Linked DNA regions of Cricetulus griseus. The protein of the gene in region 1 interacts with the protein of each later gene in a biochemical or structural test. Links are inferred from orthologs where the notes say so. Each region holds a gene or a part of one and is shown on either strand. Other genes may lie near its edges.

Region 1 (4,626 bases):
GGTGATGTTCCCATTCAGGGCCACTGGAACGTTGGTCACATACTGAGTCTGTCCTGAGAGCACATTATTTGCAAGGCCTTGGAGGGGGACAGCCTGCTGGAGTAGATTTGGCATAGCAGCAATTATGTTGCCCCCACTTCCTCTATTTGTGATGATCTGTTGGTTTGCACCCGGTATGATCTGTATTTGACCAGAACCATCCTGCTGCACTTGAGCCCCAGTGGCAGCAAACTGCAGCTGCTGCCCATCAACAGTCTGGAACTGTGGGATTACTTGATACTGAATATTAGGCATTACTCCAGGTAGACCTGTCAGAACTTGCTGGTTTTGTAAGTTGGGGGTAGCAGCCACAACATACTGCCCACCAGAGACTGTACGATTCTTGGAAGACTCGCTGCCATTGCTGCCATTGGTACTGTTGCCACTCTGTTCCTTTGAGGTAGGGGTAGCCCCAGAGGAGGAAGAGATGATCTGCCAGCCATTGGCACCCTGTGAAAGTTGTGTGGCTGTGAGGTCAAGTTCACCTGTGCCCCCTGACTGACTCGGACCCTGGGAGTTGTTGCTGTTCTCATTGGGTGACTCAATTCTGCTGCAGGTTGCTGCCAGCAGAGCCAAAGGAGATGGCTGGGATTCCTGGCCAGAAGAGAGGAAAGGAGTTAGTGGCACCCAATAGCCTGCCTAGGGGGCAGTATTCAACAGACAAACAGCAACAATGCAGGCATATAAAGAGCAAAAACCAGAAATAAAATGCTGACTTTTGTGTACTGTTCCAACTTTCTTATTTGGGGACCCTCTAGATCATCTATCTTTCTGTGTGTACTTCACTACTGTATTTTTTTTCTCCCAGCTTTTTGATTAAGGAACTTTCTAAGAATATTTACACCCTCAACACCTTCCCCACCTTTGACTGATCACTCACCTGCCCTCCTCCGACACCACTGCTGCTGCTACTGCCTGTGCTGCTGCTCCGAGTCTGAGAAAAAGATGCACCACCACCATTACCGTTACCCCCGTTATTGCCACCAACACCTTTTTCAATCTTCACGGCTGTCACTTCATCCATGGAGTGATCTTGATCTAAAAATAATTACAAAACAATAACTTAAAGTGGAAGAAGGAGAAAAAAAATCACCCAAAGGTTTAAAATAAGGCTCTGATAACCAGCCTAATGACTAATAGAATGTTTAAAAGCAGAGTAAAAAAGGAAATAGGGCCAGATATAGATATGGTGATAGGCCTGAAATCTCAGAATTTGGAAGTGGAGGCAAGAGGGACATGGAGGCAAGAGAAATAAGAGTTCAAAGAAATTTTCAGTTACATCAGTTGAGATGCCAGCATCTCATGCCAGGCATGCAGAACAGGCATGTGCCTCAATGGTGTCCAAGATGGGCCACTATTTCCCCATGTACAAAATTAAAGTCAAAAACCATTCAAAAAGCGCTTTGGGCTGGGCAGTGGTGGCGCACGCCTTTAATCCCAGCACTCCGTAGGCAGAGGCAGGTGGATCACTCTGAGTTTGAGACCAGCCTGGTCTACAAGAGCTAGTTCCAGGACAGCCTCCAAAGCCACAGGGAAACCCTGTCTTAAAAAACCAAAAAGAAAGCGCTTTCGAGCTGGATGGTGGTGGTGGCAGCAGTGAAGGCACACACCTTTAATCCCAGCACTTAGGAGGCGGAGGCAGGCAGATCTCTGTGACTTCAAGGCCAGCCTAGTCTGCAGAGTGAATTCCAGGACAGCCTTCAAAGCCACAGAGAAACCGTGTCTCAAACCCCCATCCCCACCCCCACCCCCCAAAAAAGTGCTTTGGAAGCCAGGCATGGTGACTCACACCTGTTCATCAGTTCTAAGTCTATCTGGACTAGAGTGAGACCTGGCCTTAAACAAGACAAATAGCATTTCTGAAAAAGGGAATTTGAGGGCAGTATCTCAGGAATACTAGTTGCCCCTAGTGTTGGCATGGCACACTCTGTAATCTCAGCACTCAGGAGGAAGAGGCATGAGGATGGCTAAAAGTTTAAGGCCAGCCTGGTTTTCATAGTACCACACAGACCCTGTCTCAAAAGTAAAAAAAAAAAAGCATTCTGGGAGGAAGAAGAGACCCAACATGTGGTTGGATGGAAAAATGTGCTAAAATTAGGATTAAGAGAGATGGAGAAAGACCAAGTGTAAAGCTAAATAAATAAAAACAGGAACAGACAGAGTACATCATAAGTACCGATAGGGACACTTCTGAGGATACAGGTAAGGGGCTAAAGTGGTCTAGGGCTTAGAACCCAGGTTTGGGGCTGAGAGGGCGGGCCTTAGAAGGAAGGGGCGTTTTCGGGGTGAGGGGCGTGGAAAGGGCGGGTCAGATGGGGGAAGGGAAATGTTCGGGGGTGCGGGGGAGGGCCTGGGGCAGGCAGTGACCGGAGGGCGGACCGGGGAGGCGGTTGGCCCAGGCGGGGCCTGCACTGGTCGGGCCGCCCCCGCGGCGCCAGCCCCCGACGGGAGGAGCCTCAGGCGGCAGGCCGAGTAGTGGGGGGTAAGGCCCGTCCCCCGTGGCCGGGGCGGGCAGGGGGCGGGCGAGGCCACGCTGCCCCCTCCCCCGGGGCGGGTGGCCCATCCCCCTCCTCCTCCGAGGCCCCGCGACTGCCCCTTCTCCCTCCCTTCCCTCCGCCCCGGGCGGGACCAAGGCCGCCGCCGCCGCCTCCCGCCCGCCCCCCCTCACAGCGGGGACCGCCCGGTCGGCCCTCGCGCGCGCCCCCTCACTCCCCTCCCACCCCTAGGCATGGAGTGGACTCATCCTTACCGCTCATGGTGGCAGCTGAGGGGCGAGCTCAAGGGGGTCCTGTCCGGGGGGGTTGGGGGGGGCCAGGAAAAACGCGGACGCTGACGAGGCAAGCGAACCCGGACCGGACAGGGAGGGGGGGTAAGGAGGAGGGAGCAGCGCGCCACAAGCCCGGCCTAGTCTCCGCCCCTTATCTGCTGCCCCGCCCAATGAAGGAGGGAGAAAGGAGAGCCTTGCAGTAGAAAGGCGGGCAGACGACCCAATGGGAAGACTCGTTCCCTCGCAAAGGCGGGTAAGACCAACTTGCGTGCTGGTGTCCGCCTTAAAAGGCCGCCCTCTCAGCTCTAACAGCCAATAAAAGCTTCAGGAAGTGAGAGTGGGCGGGACATAAGGAAGATCGACTTGGAGAGAAACCAGTGATTCGCCGGGCGGGCTCCGTGAACGGTGGTGATAGGACGAGCTTAGGAAGGAGTGACAGGACAAGGACCAATTAGAATCTTGAGCATGCCGGGGCAAAGTCCGTTTAGTAGGAGAGTAAGAAATAGGCCGGAATGGGATAGGATCAAGCTATCTAAACCAATCAGGATTCAGGCGGGCAGTTAAGAAAGTTCTGATTGGTCAATAACTGAGACGATCCGGAACAGGATGCATATTGACATGAGCTCACAGCCAATTAGACGCCGAATAAAAGGCGAAGGCTGGAACTTGGAATGGGGAGAGGAGACCTGGCTTCCTCCTCAGATACTCAGGCCAATGAGGGGAAGAAAAAGCCCTGGCACCGCCTCTAGCTTGGCCAATGGTCGTTTGTGGGGCCGCCCATCGTGAGGAGGGAACAGGGGCTGTGCCAAAAGGAGTTCGTCGCCATGTTGGCCCTGCTCGGGAGACTTCCTTACGTCGTTAGGTTGTACACTCCAGCTGAGCCCTGCAGCTCTACAAGTGTCCCTGCCGAGGCGGGCGAGCGCCGCGTGTTTCGCCACACGGGATCGCTCCAGTTTTCACATCTCGCACCCGACACCCTCTCGAATCCCACCCCTGCAGGGGTGGGTGGGCGGCTCCCCCTGGCCGTGGGTGGAAGCCCTGCGGCGGCGGGCGGGACGAGAGCTTGGTGACGGCCCTCGAGAGCTCAGTCAGTTCTGAGCTCACCAATATGGAAGGCTTTCGGGAAACTCTAGCAAACGCCATTTTCTTAAGCTGTCCCGAACGCGCTAAGTCGAGGGCCCAGAACTCTTTGAGACTGACTAGAAAACTTCCGGGATCAAAGCTCTCCTAAACTACTCCCTTTTCACTTCGTTACTCGTAAACACCGCTTCAGCAGAAAGCACAGTAACCTAGTTACTTCCTTTTGCAATCACAAAGGTTCACGATTTTGCCCCAGGCACTTCAATCCTCGGCTTCCATTTTGCCTCCAAAAACCTTTAGCACTTACAGTGAATACTACTAGCTGAATTCTCCTTTAGACAGCTTAAAGCACTTTGAAGATAGAAACTGAGGTATCTGCTGCCTCTGAGGTGGCCTAGGAAAAAATAAGTGACAGCTCAGTTATCTGTGCTGGATGTCCCAGTTAGATAAGCATTTAGTACTACTTATGTCAAGCTCATAAGAAAAATATTGTCAGACATGGTGGCCCATACCTTTAATTCTAGCACTTGGAAGGCAAAAGCAGGAGGAACTCTGAATTCGAGGCCTACCTAGTCTAAATAATGAGCTCTATATGCAGAAAGGTCCTGTCTCAAAACAACAACAATGAAAATTAAGATAAAAAATTAACTATCAAGGCGTTGGTGGAACACGCCTTTAATCCCAGCACTCTGGAGACAGAGGCAGGCAGATCACTGTGATTTCGAGACCAGCCTAGTCTA
Region 2 (4,644 bases), on another chromosome or scaffold:
TTCTGTGTATGATATTAAAACCAAACTAAAAAGACCATTCTGGCAAAGCAACACAGATCATATATATATGATATATATATATGATATATATATTAGAAAATAGTATCAATAGGCTACTAAGACTTAAAATTACCTTAAATATTATTTTCCACAAATGATGAATAGATGGTACAGTGGTTCTGTTAGGACAGAATACTTATTGTTTTGTCTTAAAAGAGATTATAGATCCCAGAGGCTGACATTCAAATCACAATCAGGGAGTAACAAGAGAATCAGCTAAATGCCGTATTAACAAACGTCAGTGTCAGTAAAGATAGCAAGTTTGTCACATGCATTCAAACAGACTAACTGTAATCTGTTAGGGGTGTGGTGTTTGTGAAAACAGAGTCTTGTTCTGTAGCCCAGGCTGGCAATCCTGCCTCAGTGTCCTGCATGTTAGTTACAGGCATGAATTACACTCACTAGTTATTAGATGTATATGAATTACACTCAGTTGTAATTTTTACCATTTAAATTATTTTTTGAGGTAAAGGATTTCCATTTTTTTCAGAGCACCTTGAGTTAAGAAAAAGCTACAAGATTTATATAAAAATAAATTATTTCTATACCCTTCTTCCCCACCAGTAGAACTAAATAAACTAAAGGGGGCTGGGGAAATGGCTTGGTACAGTGCCTGCTACACAAGCATGAAGATGTGGGTTGCCCAGAACCACACAGAAGCTAGATGTGGCATATCTGTAACCCTGAGACAGGGAAGGAAAGAGGGCTGAGAATAGCCAGTTTCCTGGAGCTTGATGGCCACCAGTCTAGCCAAACCAGTGACCTCCAATGAGACCTTTTTATCAAGAAATGAGATGGAAAAGTAGTTAAAGATATCCCAAAGTCAAGTACACCTCTGGTTTCCACACGTACCAGCCCCGAAAGCATACCCCTCCCCCTGACACACATAGCATAAGGTGGAGAGTGATAAATACCAACATCCTGATAGATAATTACTACACCTGTGGTCTCCACACAGTGAGATCACAACAGCAAAGCTTTCTGCAGCTGCTGCTCTGTCTTCCTTGTGCATTTGTGCCTGACCTGCACCAGATGAACATTCAAATTGATTTTAAAGGGGTGGCAGATACTATAATGCTTAAAACTGTAGCTTCAAGCAGCACTCTCAGGAGTGGCATGTTAAGTGAGTCATAAATACAACTGAAATTTATTCTCCAAACCAAACATTTATGAAGTCAGATTAAAATAACCATTTGAGATCTAATTAAAATTGATAGCTTGCAGTGCCCTTCCTGCCTGTTAAGGATGAGTTCTTTTTGAGGTCAGTAGGTCTGGGTATTAGCCATGAGATCTAAGATACCCTTCTAAGTCCAATGCAGTAATCCTAACCCACTGTGTTATGACCAGGGATGACAGTCTTAGCCGGGCGTGACCATGGCACTCAGAGAGAGGGGCTGCCTGGTCCACAAGTCTAGTTCCAAAACAGAACAGAAACCCTGTCTAGAAAAACAAAACAAAATGACATAGTCTTAAAACTAGAAGTATCACTAACTCAATGATGTAATTATTTTCTTAGTTTCATAAAGATCTTTAAAAATTACCAAGCAGGGTATGGAGTCATAGGCCTGTAATCTAGAATTTGAGACTGAGGCAGGATGATTTGAGTTCAAGACTAGCCATAATTACAGATTGAGACCCTGTCTCAAAAATAAAAAGCAAAACCTTACCAAAGCTACCATCCATTGGATAATCAAGAGGTACCAGTGGTTTTCTTGCTCCAGGTAAAGAGACAGCAGCATTAAAAGCCAGGGCATCTTCACACTGTGTTTCTTTATGTTCAGCTGGCATTTTCTGAGTCTCCTCTTCTTCATCCACATGAATAGTGAAGGCCGGCTGTTTACTGGTTGCTTTCCATGAAGGACCAACGGCGACATGTTCATCGTTTATAGAAAGGTCTTTAAGAGGTGCAACCTAAAAAGGATTTAAAAAGAAATTTGCCTTCTTGCTCCGCGCCCCTCAGCTTTTACTCCCAAATAACTCCGTTAGGAAAAATAAACTTAAGGTAAAGCCCAGATAAGTAGTAGCTTGAGTAATCCAAGATAAAGGTGAACCGGTTTGCCACAGCCATTACTACAAAGGCTATAAATAGGACTGATTGGAACTACAAACTTATCAAGGAATAAGTTTAGGGGAAAGTATTGATTCGCAACTTTAGCTCCAGGGTGGAGCAAACATACAGGTCTGGCTAAAATGGCGGATTTACCAAACAAAATATTGCTTTCTGTCCTTCCTTCCCTGAAGTAGAGGTAATCTGGGAAGCAGATGGTGAGGGGGAAGGGATCCCAAGGCAATGCCCGTCTTTAAAAGTGGAGGGAAAGGCACACAGCTGGGCGAAGTCGACACGCGGGGAGCATCGCTCGGTATGACCCCGGGCATTTTTAGGAATTAGTCTCCACTAGTGTTGAAGGGCAGCACACTCGGCAGGGCTGCTGGGGCTATTTGGTCCTAGAAACAAACTCCGGAACCACGCAGACTGCAGCCCGACTCCCACTAGAAAGCGCAGCGTGCTTTCAGGCCCTCTCGGCTGCTAAACCAGGCCGGCTCCCGCCCGGCCCTCCCACCGACCCCCGCGCCCTTTTACCCGCCGAGTCTTGAGTCTCTGCTGTGGCGCGTTTCCCCGCGCGTTCCCGGCCTTGAGGGCCGCCCGCGCCCGCGGCTGCTGGGCTGGCGCCACCTTCTCGGGGTTGACATTTTCCTGGTCTTCCTGCTGCAGCGAGACCAGGGCTGAGCCCGCCTCGCGACCCGACTGTCTCGAGCTGCCCGGCATCGCGGCTCCGGTCGGGACCCGTCGGCGGCAGAGCGTGCACTGCGCCCGCCGCTCCCGGCTGCGCGGGACCCTGGCGGCCGACGCGCGGAGCAGGCGCTGCGGGCGGCGGGGGGAGGAGCGAAGCCCAGGTGCCGCGAGCAGCGCGCCGGCCGCCGGCTGTTCGTGCAGTTCAAGTAGCCCGCGACTATTGAAATGGACCAATGAGGGCGCCCGGGGCATGTGACGTCACCAGAGCGCCGGGGCGCCGCGAGCTAAGGCCCGACGGGAACCGAGTTGGGCGGGCGCCGGAGGACGCGCCTGCGCGAGGAAGGGTGGGGTGGGCGCCAGCCTCCGGCGACTTCCCGCAGCGTAGCGCGTCTGTAACCCGGAGGCTCACAGGATCCCGCCCGAGCAGCCTGGCGGGCCTGACGAGCCCTCGGGCCTCAAAGTGACAGCGTTCAGGACTCCTAAAAGGAGTAACCACTTCCCTCGTCGCTGGGCGGAGCTTAGGAAGAGCGCACAGAACTCAGCTGACCGACCAGCTCACTTCCGAGGCTCCCTAGCAGAACACTCCTCCCTCCCTCCCCCCCCATCTCTCTCTCTCTGTCTCTGTCTGTCTGTGGTGCTGCCCATAGAACTCAGGAAACCTCTAGTGCTTTTACTGTTTATTTTTGCATCACATCTCCAGTATATATTTTTTGTTTGTTGTTGTTTGAGACAGGGTTTAAAAATGCAGTCCGGATGGTCCTATAACTCACAGACATCCGCCTGTCACTCACTGCCTCACCGGTTCTGGGATTGAAGGCTTGTGTCACTATGCCCAACATTCCAGTAAACTCCATTCTCCCCTCTCATAAGGGATTTAATCAATTTAGAATACCAACTGAAGCTGTTGTTGATAACCATTAAACGAAATGGTGTATTCCAAGAATTAGTTTTGTTTATCCTTGGTTGTGACATCCAACAAATAGCACACCACGAAGTTCCACGGACCCAAATAGATACTACATTTAGAAATAGAGTGCATGGTGGTACGTACCTTGAATCCCAGCTACATAGTGAGACGCTGTCTCAAAAAAAGAAAAAAAGTGTTCATATGAAAAACAGGGGCCTGGGTGTCCCAAGAAAGCTTCCAGAAAATATAAGAAAAAAATACTATGACCTTATTAAAGACCCAACATATGTGCCTTATTTAATATTTAAGAATTGCACGTAAAATATAACAATGTAATTATCACTTTCTGAAAATTTCATAACTTCTTTGAAAACAAGAAACAGAGATTTTCCATTATCTTTATAATATTTTTAAACTTTAAATACAATATTCTCTTGTAAATGAATAAAACTTCTGTTGCTTAAAGTCTTCTTCACCCCCCCCAAATATATAATAAAAAGGAATTTCATGGATACTAGTATAGGAAAATCTTAGAAGCCATCACTCTTCACTTAGATACTTTAAAGCTCAACTGGTTACATGTAGGACATATATCTGAGAGTCCCCCCTGTCTGAGTTCTGCTTACTTCTCTGGCCATAGTCTACAGCACTAAGCCAAATATTTCACAAACTGCAGGAGGATCATGTCATCAAGTAAGAACTGGAGTGTGAATCCATTCCAAATCCTAGAGGGGAAAAAAAAAACTCATTATTTCCACCTCATGATAACACAGAGGAATGGGGTACACATATAAGCTTGCCACAGCCTTATAAAATACTAGCATAGCATCTTACTCGAATCAGCTCCACTTAAGTGGTTGATAAGTTTACAGAACAGTCAGGAAGATCAAACAAGTATTATGATATATAAAGGGAAAATATATTATGAAACATGAAGTTTGTA
Region 3 (4,876 bases), on another chromosome or scaffold:
TTTCTTTAAAAAAAAAAAAACATTTTTATTATGTGTGTTCATATATATGCATATATGTGCATACACACAGGTTCCCACAAGAGGTCAGAGGCATCAGATTACCTGGAGCTGGAGTTACTGGCTGTTAGGAACTGAATTCCAGTAGGAACTAAGCTGAGCACCCACCACCCAATCTTATCTTTTTGTCTTCTACATAAGGAAGGGGAATCTAACCAAAATAGGCACAATTTCCAATGAACTACTTTAGGGAAAACCCTGCTAAAGGATAGCTGAAAATCCCTTAAACATTTTTTCATGGTTTTTAAAATTATTTTTTTAGTATGTTTATGTACATATGAGTTTTCTTTGAACCACATATGTGCAGATGCCCTTGGAAGTCAGAGGGTCACCTAATGTAGATGCTGGGATCTGAAGATGGTCTTGATTGTTAAGCCTAGCTTTTTAAAAGATCACAACTATTCAAGCAGGCATTTAAGGTCAAGATGTTCTCCATAAACCCAGCTAATGATCAAATGCTAATGACCTATAATTAAAAATATTCTACAAATACTAAGATGTTATCAACCTGGAGATAAAAGGATGGATCCAGGATTCAAATTCCAATTGTACCTGCATTTTTTATTTGTTTGTTTTTTTTTTTTGAGACAGAGTTTCTCTGTGTAGCTTTGGAGCCTGTCCTGGCACTCCCTTTGTAGACCAGGCTGGCCTGAACTCACAGAACACATGCCTCTGCCTCGCCTCCTGGGATTAGAGGTGTATGCCGCCACCACCACCTGGTCTACACTTTTCTTAAAATTAAAATTTGTATTTTTAAATTTAATTTATTTCACAAATATGGGTATTTCCCTCAAATTTGTGTCTAAGGAACATCTGATCCTCTAGAACTGGAGTTACTGACAGTTGTGAGCTTGCAGGTGGGTACTGGGACTAGAACCCAGAGCTGCAACTGCTCTTCACTGCTGAGTCATCTCCCCAGCCCCTAAAATTTGAATTTTAAAGAGAACTTTGCACAGCAGCTGTAAACTTCAAAGGTTAAGTAACTCCACAGCAGCAATAGCACCAGAATCTAAATAATCCATCTTATCAAACAGAGGTGGTTGTGGGGAGTCCAAATGACATATCCTCAATTTTTGTGCCTATTTAAAATAAGCTAGTTTTTAAAATAAATGAAACTATAACTGGCAATCTTCAGTATAATAAGAGAGTTACTGGCATGCAGGTACAAGAGCAGCAATATGTGCAAGACAGATGTGAAGGGGAAGTACTTTTTTAAGTACTCCTTTATAAGTCTTTAATTGTGACCTAATTTAATTTGTTTTGACTCCCAAGACCAGTTCACCTTTATCTTCATAGTTGTACACTGTGAGTCTTTTTAAAAAGAACGTTAATTATTCTATCTAGTTAAGACAGTTGGTGGAAAACACGTCTTTCCTACCATTTCTAAAATTATGACCATTCAAATTTGAATGCATTTCTGAAATAGACTTGCTCATCAGGAAAATATGCTAAAGTTCCAAGATTATTACTAACATTAAAGAAAGGCATGTGTAATGACTGAAGAGCTGCAGCATTTGAAACAGGATCTGTCTATAATCAGAGCCTGGTTCTAGTCCTTCGCCCTTGGGAAAGGACTTCCTTTCTATACCTTATCTGAAAGAGGGTATCTTTTTCCTCAAGATGGCTATCCAGACAAAATTAAACTATTCGGATAGCAGAGTATCTCAGAGACCTTCAATAAATTAGTTTTCTTCATTTAGCACAAAAGACACAAATTTAGGGGTAAGAAAACCTACTCCCACAAGTTTTCAGTACAAAACACAAATACTTGTTCCAGTAAAAACAACACACTTCATCATTCCACAATCAGGTGAGAAATCCTACAAGTGACCATGCAAAATTAGGTCTGAAAATACTCGATGGTAACGAAGGAGTTAAAGTCAAATTAGGCCCAATTCCAAATACATCTTAATAACTCTTTAAGAGTGATGCTAGCTTATCCTTCCTGCAACGCAACGATATTTACATCCATTTTGAAACTTCAAGATTTAAATATCCTCACAACCAACGCTGGTGTCATTAATGCTTTTTAGAAAGCCTAAGTTGGAACGCATCATTAGCTCCACTGAAGATATTTTGTGAAAGCTGTTCACGTATACACAAGGAAGGGAAGAAAAATATTTTGGTGTTCAGCACACAAGCCGAGGATTCTCGCTTGCAAAACCACGGCCGCCTCCACCACCACCGACAAGCCTGTGATGGAATTCCTGGTTTTACGATCTAATGTCAAAGAAGGCGGCTATAATGCCATAAATTAGGGGACACGGTGCACTTCCGTTCCCGTCCCAAGGGAGAAGACTCCAAAGTACGAGCTTGAGACCAAGTCCTCGGGTCCTGACCTCAGTGTGGGGTGCCCCTCCAACGGCAAACGAGGGGCAGCCCAGGAAGCACCCCAGCAACAACTAAGCCTCGACGGGCTCCGTGATTGTGGACCAAAGAGGAGTCAGGGGTCCAGGTCGCTGCAGAACGCGAGGCCAAGGCGCGGGAAGGGCCGCGGCTGCGTCCAGAACAGCCAGGGGCACAGGCAGGGGTGACCGGGTGAGGCCGAGCTTGCAAACCGGAGTAGACACTCACCAAACCATGCCGTAGGCGCCCTCTCCGATGTACGAGAGGTTGGTGTAGCGCGGCCCCACGTCGAACACCTGCCCGCGGACCATCTCCGGGCCCGCCGCCGCCGCCGCCGCCATGTTGGCTGCCTAGTCGCCGCCGCCGCGCTGGGCTCGACGCTTCGCGGCCGCCGCTCGGCTTGTGCAGCGCCTCCCGCAGGGACCGCGCTGCCACCCGTGTAGCCGCCGCCGCCCGCGACCGGGAACGCGGAACGAAGACAACACAGAGCAAAGAACTGACCGCCAGTGAACCACTGCCTGCCTTCCTGCCTGACGGGCGGGCAGCGAGCGGGAGGAGGGAGGGGCTGGCGTCGAGGGGCGCTGGGGCGGAGTCAAGGGCGTGAGCGCTGATTGGCTCCTCGCGGCGCTGGGCGGGGTCTCGAGGGCCGGCGGAAGCAGCGAACTGAGGCAGGAGCACTGCGGCTGCGGGGGAGGGCCGTCACGTGCGTTTGGAGAACCGGGCGTTCAGTTTGTTTGGTGGCTCTTGAAAGCCTGGTGGAAACCTGGGCGTAACGACCCCACAGTGTGTCCGACCGCTGTGCGGTGCCCAGGACGAACTCATGTGGAACCAGGCACTTGGCGTGAGACCGGAGGACTCAGCATACACCAAGCAATGGACCCCTGAGACAGGCCTCTGGGAATCCGTGGCCCTCACACTAATGAACTTAGACTGCCAAACTGGGACAGAAACCAAAAAGCATGACCCAGACTCAGAAAGATATTTTCACACCTAAAAAGTGTGAGACATAAGTGGAAACCAAAACACAAGGCATTGAATCCCCTAATTAGAGGTTTGTTCAAGAAGATTTGCTGAATACTTCTCCCTTCTAGGGTGAAGAGACAGACAAATACGATGCTCACTTAACTAAGTGCTGTGAACAATTAAAAACTGGAGGGAAGGTTTACAGAGTTGTGGGTGAGGACGCTGGAGAAAGACTGAAATCCAGGGACTGGACCCAGGTGTTGTGTAACCGTTTCCTGCGAGATTGAAACATTCTATCCTGCAGAGAAACTCCTTAAACAGGAAAGTAAACGGCACAAAGGAACTTTGGGAGTCCTTGAAACTGACCAGATTCACCGGGTTACTCCTTGCTGGAGTAAGCAATAAAAGTTGAGAATCCCTGTTCGATGAACTCCACGGAGCTGCAAAGAAGACTCAGCCAAACTGCTTAGAAGAAGCAGAAATCAGCCTCCTGCCTCCTGCCTGGAAGAGGTCTAGACCAACTTAAATAGCTGGAGGACACTCTTCAACTTTGCTGGTATCCATACTCATCTGTAGTGACTAGGTGTGTATTGTGTCTTCTCAAGAAGTGTTTTGTCACACAACACCAGCTTGGTACAGATGAGCAGAAACCCAGATGGGCGTACTGAAATATAGCACAGTTAGAATGGCTGAAACATCTGAACAAGTTGTGGGTCAGAACCAGTCAGAAACACGAATGAACCCGAAGAAAATTGTAATCTTAAAGTAGGTGGGTGCCAAGGAGAGCAATGGTAAGATAGTGAATGACACAGTTTGTCTCTCAGGCATTACTACCCTGTCGTCCCTGGACGCAGACTCCTCTGTGGCCAGCAAATGAGATCTTAGACATCAATAAAGATCTTAAAGGCAATCTTAAAGATAAAAAAAAGGTAAATGTTTAAAAATAAAGAGAGGAACTGGAGGTGTCCCTCAGTAGAGTGCATGCTTAGCCTGTAGCAGGTCTTTGATTCTTTTTGCAACACTAAAGGAACAAAATCCTGCAGGGGAAAAAGAAACAAAGCACTAGAATTTAAAATTAGTCCTTCAAGCCGGGCAGTGGTGGCGGCACATACCTTTAATCTCATGACTTGGGAGGCAGAGGCAGGCAGATCTCTGAGAATTCAAGGCCAGCCTGGTCTACAGAGCTAGTTCCAGGACAACCATGACTATTATATAGAGAAACCTTGTCTCGGAAAACAAAAACAAAAGTTTTTCAAAATGTATTAGGCCACTCAGCAGAATCCTTTTTAGAAGACAATACCATCGCTCTATTAAGATATTTTTTTAAAGAACAGGATAAATGGATAGTACCATGAAATTAAAACCACATTAACCAACATAAAAAGTAGCAGTTGAAACAGTGAAACAGACCTGATGACACAGAAGAGCAAGCCAGCAATATAAAAGGTGGGCACGAGAAAAGTTTACAAAGTCATAGAATTCCTTAGGAAAGAAAATGATCTAGGGTAGT
Region 4 (4,768 bases), on another chromosome or scaffold:
TCCAGTCTGAGCTACTCCAACCATATCCAATCCACTTAGAGCAACTGGCCAGCCCTGAGCTTGAATAGCAGTGGGTTCAGTGAAATTCTGCCTTGCAATCACATCCATGACATTTGCTGTAAAACCAATAATACCATTTTTAGCAAAAACCCTACGCAAGAAGAGGGAACAAATGAAAAGAATTGAGATGAAAATTAGTCCTTACCAGGGAAGTTTGCTTCATAAAAATTCAGAACAGGCTTTGGACAGTTGTGACCCCGAACTGTAATTTCCTTGCTTCTTCTGTATGTATCTACCTCTTGCTGAAAAACAAATGACCCCAGTCTCAAACCTCAGCCAACTGCACTGACAAGTCCCCTACAGCTCAGCAGCAATTTTTATGTACTTAAAACACTCACCTAGGGCAGGGCCTTAGTGGTGCACACCTTTAATCCTAGCACTCGGGAGACAGAGGCAGGCAGATCTCTGAGTTTGAGGCCAGTCTGGTCTCTAGATCGAGTGCCAAGATAGGCTCTAAAGCTACACAGAGAAACCCTGTCTCGAAAACCAAAAAGTCTCACTATGTAGCCCAAATAGGCTGATTGGCTTGCCTGTCTCCCCAGTGATGGGAATTAAAGACTAGTGCCATAACACCTGGCCAATACACATTTTTTTTTTTTTTACCCTCTGGTGCTTCGAGACAGGGCTTCTCTGTATTGTTTGAGCCTGCCTCTATCTCCCGATTACTGGGATTAAAGGCGTGCTCCACCAGCGCCTGGCTCAAATAATTTTTACACTAGATTCAATGGACACATTTGGAAACCACACCACAAATAATAATTTGAATTCGAGACATTTGCAAGGCACCTGTCAGCTTCAATCCAATTGAGTAGAAGCTGTTAGCCAGTAAAAGCCACATTAAATCACTCACTGCGGTGCGTCTTGCCAAATCAGGGTGTTCCTGATAAAAATTCTTCTCAAATTTGGGCAGCTCATCCAGATTCCACTTCTTTTTAACTAGTTTCTCCCCAGGATTTCCAAACTTCTTTCCAGAGAGGGGTCCTGTTCTGCTCCCTCCGAATCTTGGTGCACCAAATCTACAGGGGGGGGGAAGCCACATTGTAAAAAAGTTCTGTTATGTTTGCACTCACATTTTATTTAATGTCTTTTGATATAAAGCCAAAGTGCATTTCTGGAATCCCTCCCAATTGTCAATTCTAGACAGCAACAACTGGCACAATATATTTTTACTATAGTCCCAAGCACACACTATTGATGCCAAACAAGCAGCTTGGATTTACCAGGTCGGCTGCCCAAACATCTGAAGTTCAGATTACAAGGACAGATAACAGCCTGAGGCTCCATATACCCTCCCCACAGGGCTTAGGAATTAGGAGCTGGGCAAGAAGGGAGGAGCTTAACAAGGTTATTTTTGCCACTGTTTCCGACCAAAGGAACTGATTCTTAAAGAAAACGGCGCCGAGCAGGCGATGTGGGCAGGTGAACGAGGAAGGTGTTGCGGGTAGGGCAGCAAGGGGCGAACTCGCCGCGAACCGCAGCTAATCAAGGTAGCAAAATTACATAACGCGAGGGGAAGGAAAAAAAAAAAAAAAGAGGAGGAGCCGGCGACAACCGGGGGAGGAGTCCCGGGCCGGGCTGCGTTCCCGCTGGGGCGGCGCTTCCTTCTTTGTCTCGCATTTCTCTCTGCGCCACATTTTCTCGACGCTGCCATTTTGAGCGCCTCTGCCGGGCGGGGTAACAAAGGCGCCGCCGCCATGTCCGAGGCCGGCATTTTGTGGCCGCCGCTCGGCCACATGGCTCAACCCGCCGACGTCGGCCACCCTCCACGGCACGGATGGCCTCGAAAGCGACCCCTCCGCTCCCCGGTAACACCGGGGGCCCCCAAAACACCCGCCGGAAGGTTGCACCGAACAACGCCTCGGAGCCGCCTCAAAGGCGCGGCGCTTCCTCGTCCTACACTACAACCCTCCTCGGAGATCCCCGCGACAGCCGCGGGGTCGCCACGGGACCCGAGCCTCCCAAACCAAAAAAAAAGCCAGGCGGAGCCCAACTCCTGGGAGCGCCGCCCCTAACGTCTTTTAATCAGCTGGGATAACAACAACAAAAATAAAAACCCTCAAGGCCTCCTTCCTGAAAACCCCAGGGTCGGTCGGTTGGAAACCCGAGCGCCGCCCGCCCGCCCGCTCGCTCGCTCGGCCGGCTGCCCATCCCCCACCCGCTAGCCTGACAGGTCCCTTGTCACACTCACCCTCGATCCCGGCCGCGGTCTCGGTCGCTGGAGTAACTCGACATGGCGTCAATGGTTGCGGTGAGCGGGAAAGACCCAGTGAAGGACAACCCAGTCGCGACGAGTCGCTGAGAGGAGGCCTCGGCGACGGCGAAGCCTTTGCGGGGGCGTCACCGGCGGAGGGACGGGCGGTGACGAAGCCGGAGCTGTAAACCCGAGGGCCGAGGGAAATGAATGAGGTGCCGGCTGCGTCCCGGCGGCCGCTTTTATAGTCTGGACCGCCTCCTCGCCGCAGAGGATGCTGGGAGCCGCTCTATGACCTCATCGCCCCACCCCCCTCCCCCCGGCGGGAGGCCTCAACGCCCGCTGGCGTTCGGGAATCCGCCATGTCCGCGCCCCTCCCCCCGCGGGCGCTCCCTCACAGGCGCCCGTTTATGACCCCCTTCCCGGCGGGGTGACACCGCTAGGGCGCCTCGCCCCGCACTCGTGTGGCTTCCCCGCGGCCAGCCGGCCATTACAATGGCCCGCACCAGCCAGCCAGCCCGTCGTCTCCACCTGAAGAAGATGTTTACGTCTCCACAGGCTCCCCCACGCCCATGACCGAAGAAGCCGGGGAGGTGGAGCCTGCCGTTGTCACGTGGTTGCACCTCAGGGCTAGGCGGGCCGCACTACTTCTCCGCTTGGCCTCGGCGGAGGAATACCTTCCCGCAGACTCACCGGAAGCGCGGCTCCGAGGCCCCGGGGAGAGCGGCCGGGCTGCTGGGTGACCCGGCTGCCTGGCCGGCCGAGCTGAGAGCCCTCAAGCGGGATCGGGCCCGCGGGGAATGGTATCTAGAGCCCGCAAACCGCCGCCGAAGCGCGTGCCGCGAAAGGAAGTGCTTCTCCGATGACCAATCAGCGGCGAGAAGCCGTTTTAACGTCCCGCCCTCTTCCAGCCCTCCTTCCCGGCTCTCTGGTTCCTACCCCCTCCTCCCCGGCTCGGCCCCCCCGCCCCGCCCGGCCCGGCCCGGCCCTTGCAGGACACCGTCGCCAGCGCTCGCTCCCTCGCTCGCTCGCTCTCGTCTCGGAGTCCGGCCGCGACCTTTCTTGGCAGTATGGCCAGCTCAGAGGCTGGTGAGTCTCGGCCTGGAGCCCTAGTGTTTGCGCCCTGCGGCATCCAGCTGGCCGCGGGCCGACCCGAACCGTGTCTGGGCTTCTGGAGAGGCTCGTGACTGTCGCACAGTAGTGGCCATCGCGGGGGAGTGGGCGGGCGCCTCTGAATTTAGGGTCTAGTCGTGGAACGGACAATTGGGATGTGGCCGAGGGGTTCGGTTCGCTGGCGAGGCTGGGACACCCGCATCCTGTCTTTACAGAGCAGTAAAGGACCCTTCTCTGGGACATTAGACACAGGCTGTGTCTCCTCTTTTGCTTTGTAGGGACTAAGGCGGAATGTTCTTCTGTATTGATTTTTTTTTTTTTTTGAGGCATCGCACTCATAAGAGCTTTTGATGTCCTCTAGAGTAAACGGCTTTGTCTAATACTGCCTTTGAAAAGCCAATTGATTCGGTTGTCTAGGACGCCTTGCCTCCTCCCCAGGACAGCATACAAAATGGTTGTCATGGCTTGGTTCTAAAGTGCCTTGCCTTTAATAACCAATCATTTTAGGATACAGGTGTTTCAAGCTTTCGGATTATTGCTGAAACCCTTAAACTTGGTCTTGCACTATATAGGGGAGGGCAAGAACCGTTTTTTAAAAAATGGAGAACTTGAGCAGTATTAATGTGCTAGTTCAGAGCTAGCTCTGTGTTTGTGTTTTCCTCATATTTACCTCCTTATACAGCAAATACAATAAAAAGAAAACAATTGCATTAGTGTTGGTGTGGTCGTTATTCCAGTTTCTAATAGCCTCAATTAATCACTTGTTTGGGCACCAAGAGATCTTAACTTACACAAGATAATTGCATAAAACTATTGGGAATTTGGAGCCACCTAGGTCAGATTCAGGCAACTTCAGATTATCATTTACAACTATCTTAAAACATCCCTGCTCATCTATAAGTGTAACTAAAAACACCTTTATGTAAGTACTACAAAGATACTGGTAGATGGGATCTTAGCTTGCAAAAGTGAAAGTTGGACTGACACAATAGTTTTGACTGTGTAGAAGCTAGCACTGGAAGTCATCCCAGGAAATTAAGAACATCTTTTGAAAATTATTTTCCAGTTGAGTATTTGCAATTACATGACAAAAGCCCTTATCTTCTACAGTTTTTAATGTATATACTTTTTCTATTGCTATTGAAGACTGATTCCCCCCTCCCTTCTTCCCCAACAGAATGGGTACAAATGGCCAATAACCTTCTTTTTAAATGTCACATACACCTGAGGATACATGAACTTGAAGACTGTGATGCTAATGTTTTTATTGCGCTTTATCAGTCCATTTTGGGAGAAAAGGTACCAGGTAAGGGTACTGAAAAGTGAGAATAATTTTGTTTTTGTCTTGGGTCATGAATTTCCTTTGACATAGAATTTTGTTTTCCTTTCAACATCTTAGTTCTA

What was found. The genes of interacting proteins can lie anywhere in the genome.
Region 2: the proteins of Sp1 (region 1) and Ccna2 form a complex in vitro, tested with the Homo sapiens proteins (2 studies listed by BioGRID). The link is inferred for Cricetulus griseus from reciprocal best matches to the Homo sapiens genes SP1 and CCNA2.
Region 3: of the proteins of Sp1 (region 1) and Mapk1, one has a biochemical effect on the other in vitro, tested with the Homo sapiens proteins (2 studies listed by BioGRID). The link is inferred for Cricetulus griseus from reciprocal best matches to the Homo sapiens genes SP1 and MAPK1.
Region 4: the proteins of Sp1 (region 1) and Ddx5 form a complex in vitro, tested with the Homo sapiens proteins (2 studies listed by BioGRID). The link is inferred for Cricetulus griseus from reciprocal best matches to the Homo sapiens genes SP1 and DDX5.

What each region holds. Positions count from the first base shown.
Region 1 is NC_048595.1:398,783,551-398,788,176, reverse strand, and holds the start of Sp1 (transcription factor Sp1), read right to left. Parts: upstream 3,044-4,626; 5' UTR 2,796-3,043; coding exon 2,789-2,795; intron 2,353-2,788; exon of another isoform or gene 2,216-2,352; intron 1,078-2,215; coding exon 920-1,077; intron 634-919; coding exon 1-633. UniProt on the Homo sapiens protein: Transcription factor that can activate or repress transcription in response to physiological and pathological stimuli.
Region 2 is NW_023276806.1:113,096,238-113,100,881, reverse strand, and holds the start of Ccna2 (cyclin-A2), read right to left. Parts: upstream 2,960-4,644; 5' UTR 2,828-2,959; coding exon 2,642-2,827; intron 1,972-2,641; coding exon 1,728-1,971; intron 3-1,727; coding exon 1-2. UniProt on the Homo sapiens protein: Cyclin which controls both the G1/S and the G2/M transition phases of the cell cycle. Functions through the formation of specific serine/threonine protein kinase holoenzyme complexes with the cyclin-dependent protein kinases CDK1 or CDK2.
Region 3 is NC_048597.1:72,356,701-72,361,576, forward strand, and holds the start of Mapk1 (mitogen-activated protein kinase 1), read right to left. Parts: upstream 2,960-4,876; 5' UTR 2,745-2,959; coding exon 2,632-2,744; intron 1-2,631. UniProt on the Homo sapiens protein: Serine/threonine kinase which acts as an essential component of the MAP kinase signal transduction pathway. MAPK1/ERK2 and MAPK3/ERK1 are the 2 MAPKs which play an important role in the MAPK/ERK cascade.
Region 4 is NC_048600.1:119,732,111-119,736,878, forward strand, and holds the start of Ddx5 (probable ATP-dependent RNA helicase DDX5), read right to left. Parts: upstream 2,960-4,768; 5' UTR 2,945-2,959; intron 2,799-2,944; exon of another isoform or gene 2,783-2,798; intron 2,477-2,782; exon of another isoform or gene 2,434-2,476; 5' UTR 2,293-2,433; coding exon 2,249-2,292; intron 1,077-2,248; coding exon 911-1,076; intron 303-910; coding exon 206-302; intron 117-205; coding exon 1-116. Other genes in the region: Cep95 (centrosomal protein of 95 kDa), read left to right, coding at 3,322-3,340, 4,542-4,670. UniProt on the Homo sapiens protein: Involved in the alternative regulation of pre-mRNA splicing; its RNA helicase activity is necessary for increasing tau exon 10 inclusion and occurs in a RBM4-dependent manner. Binds to the tau pre-mRNA in the stem-loop region downstream of exon 10.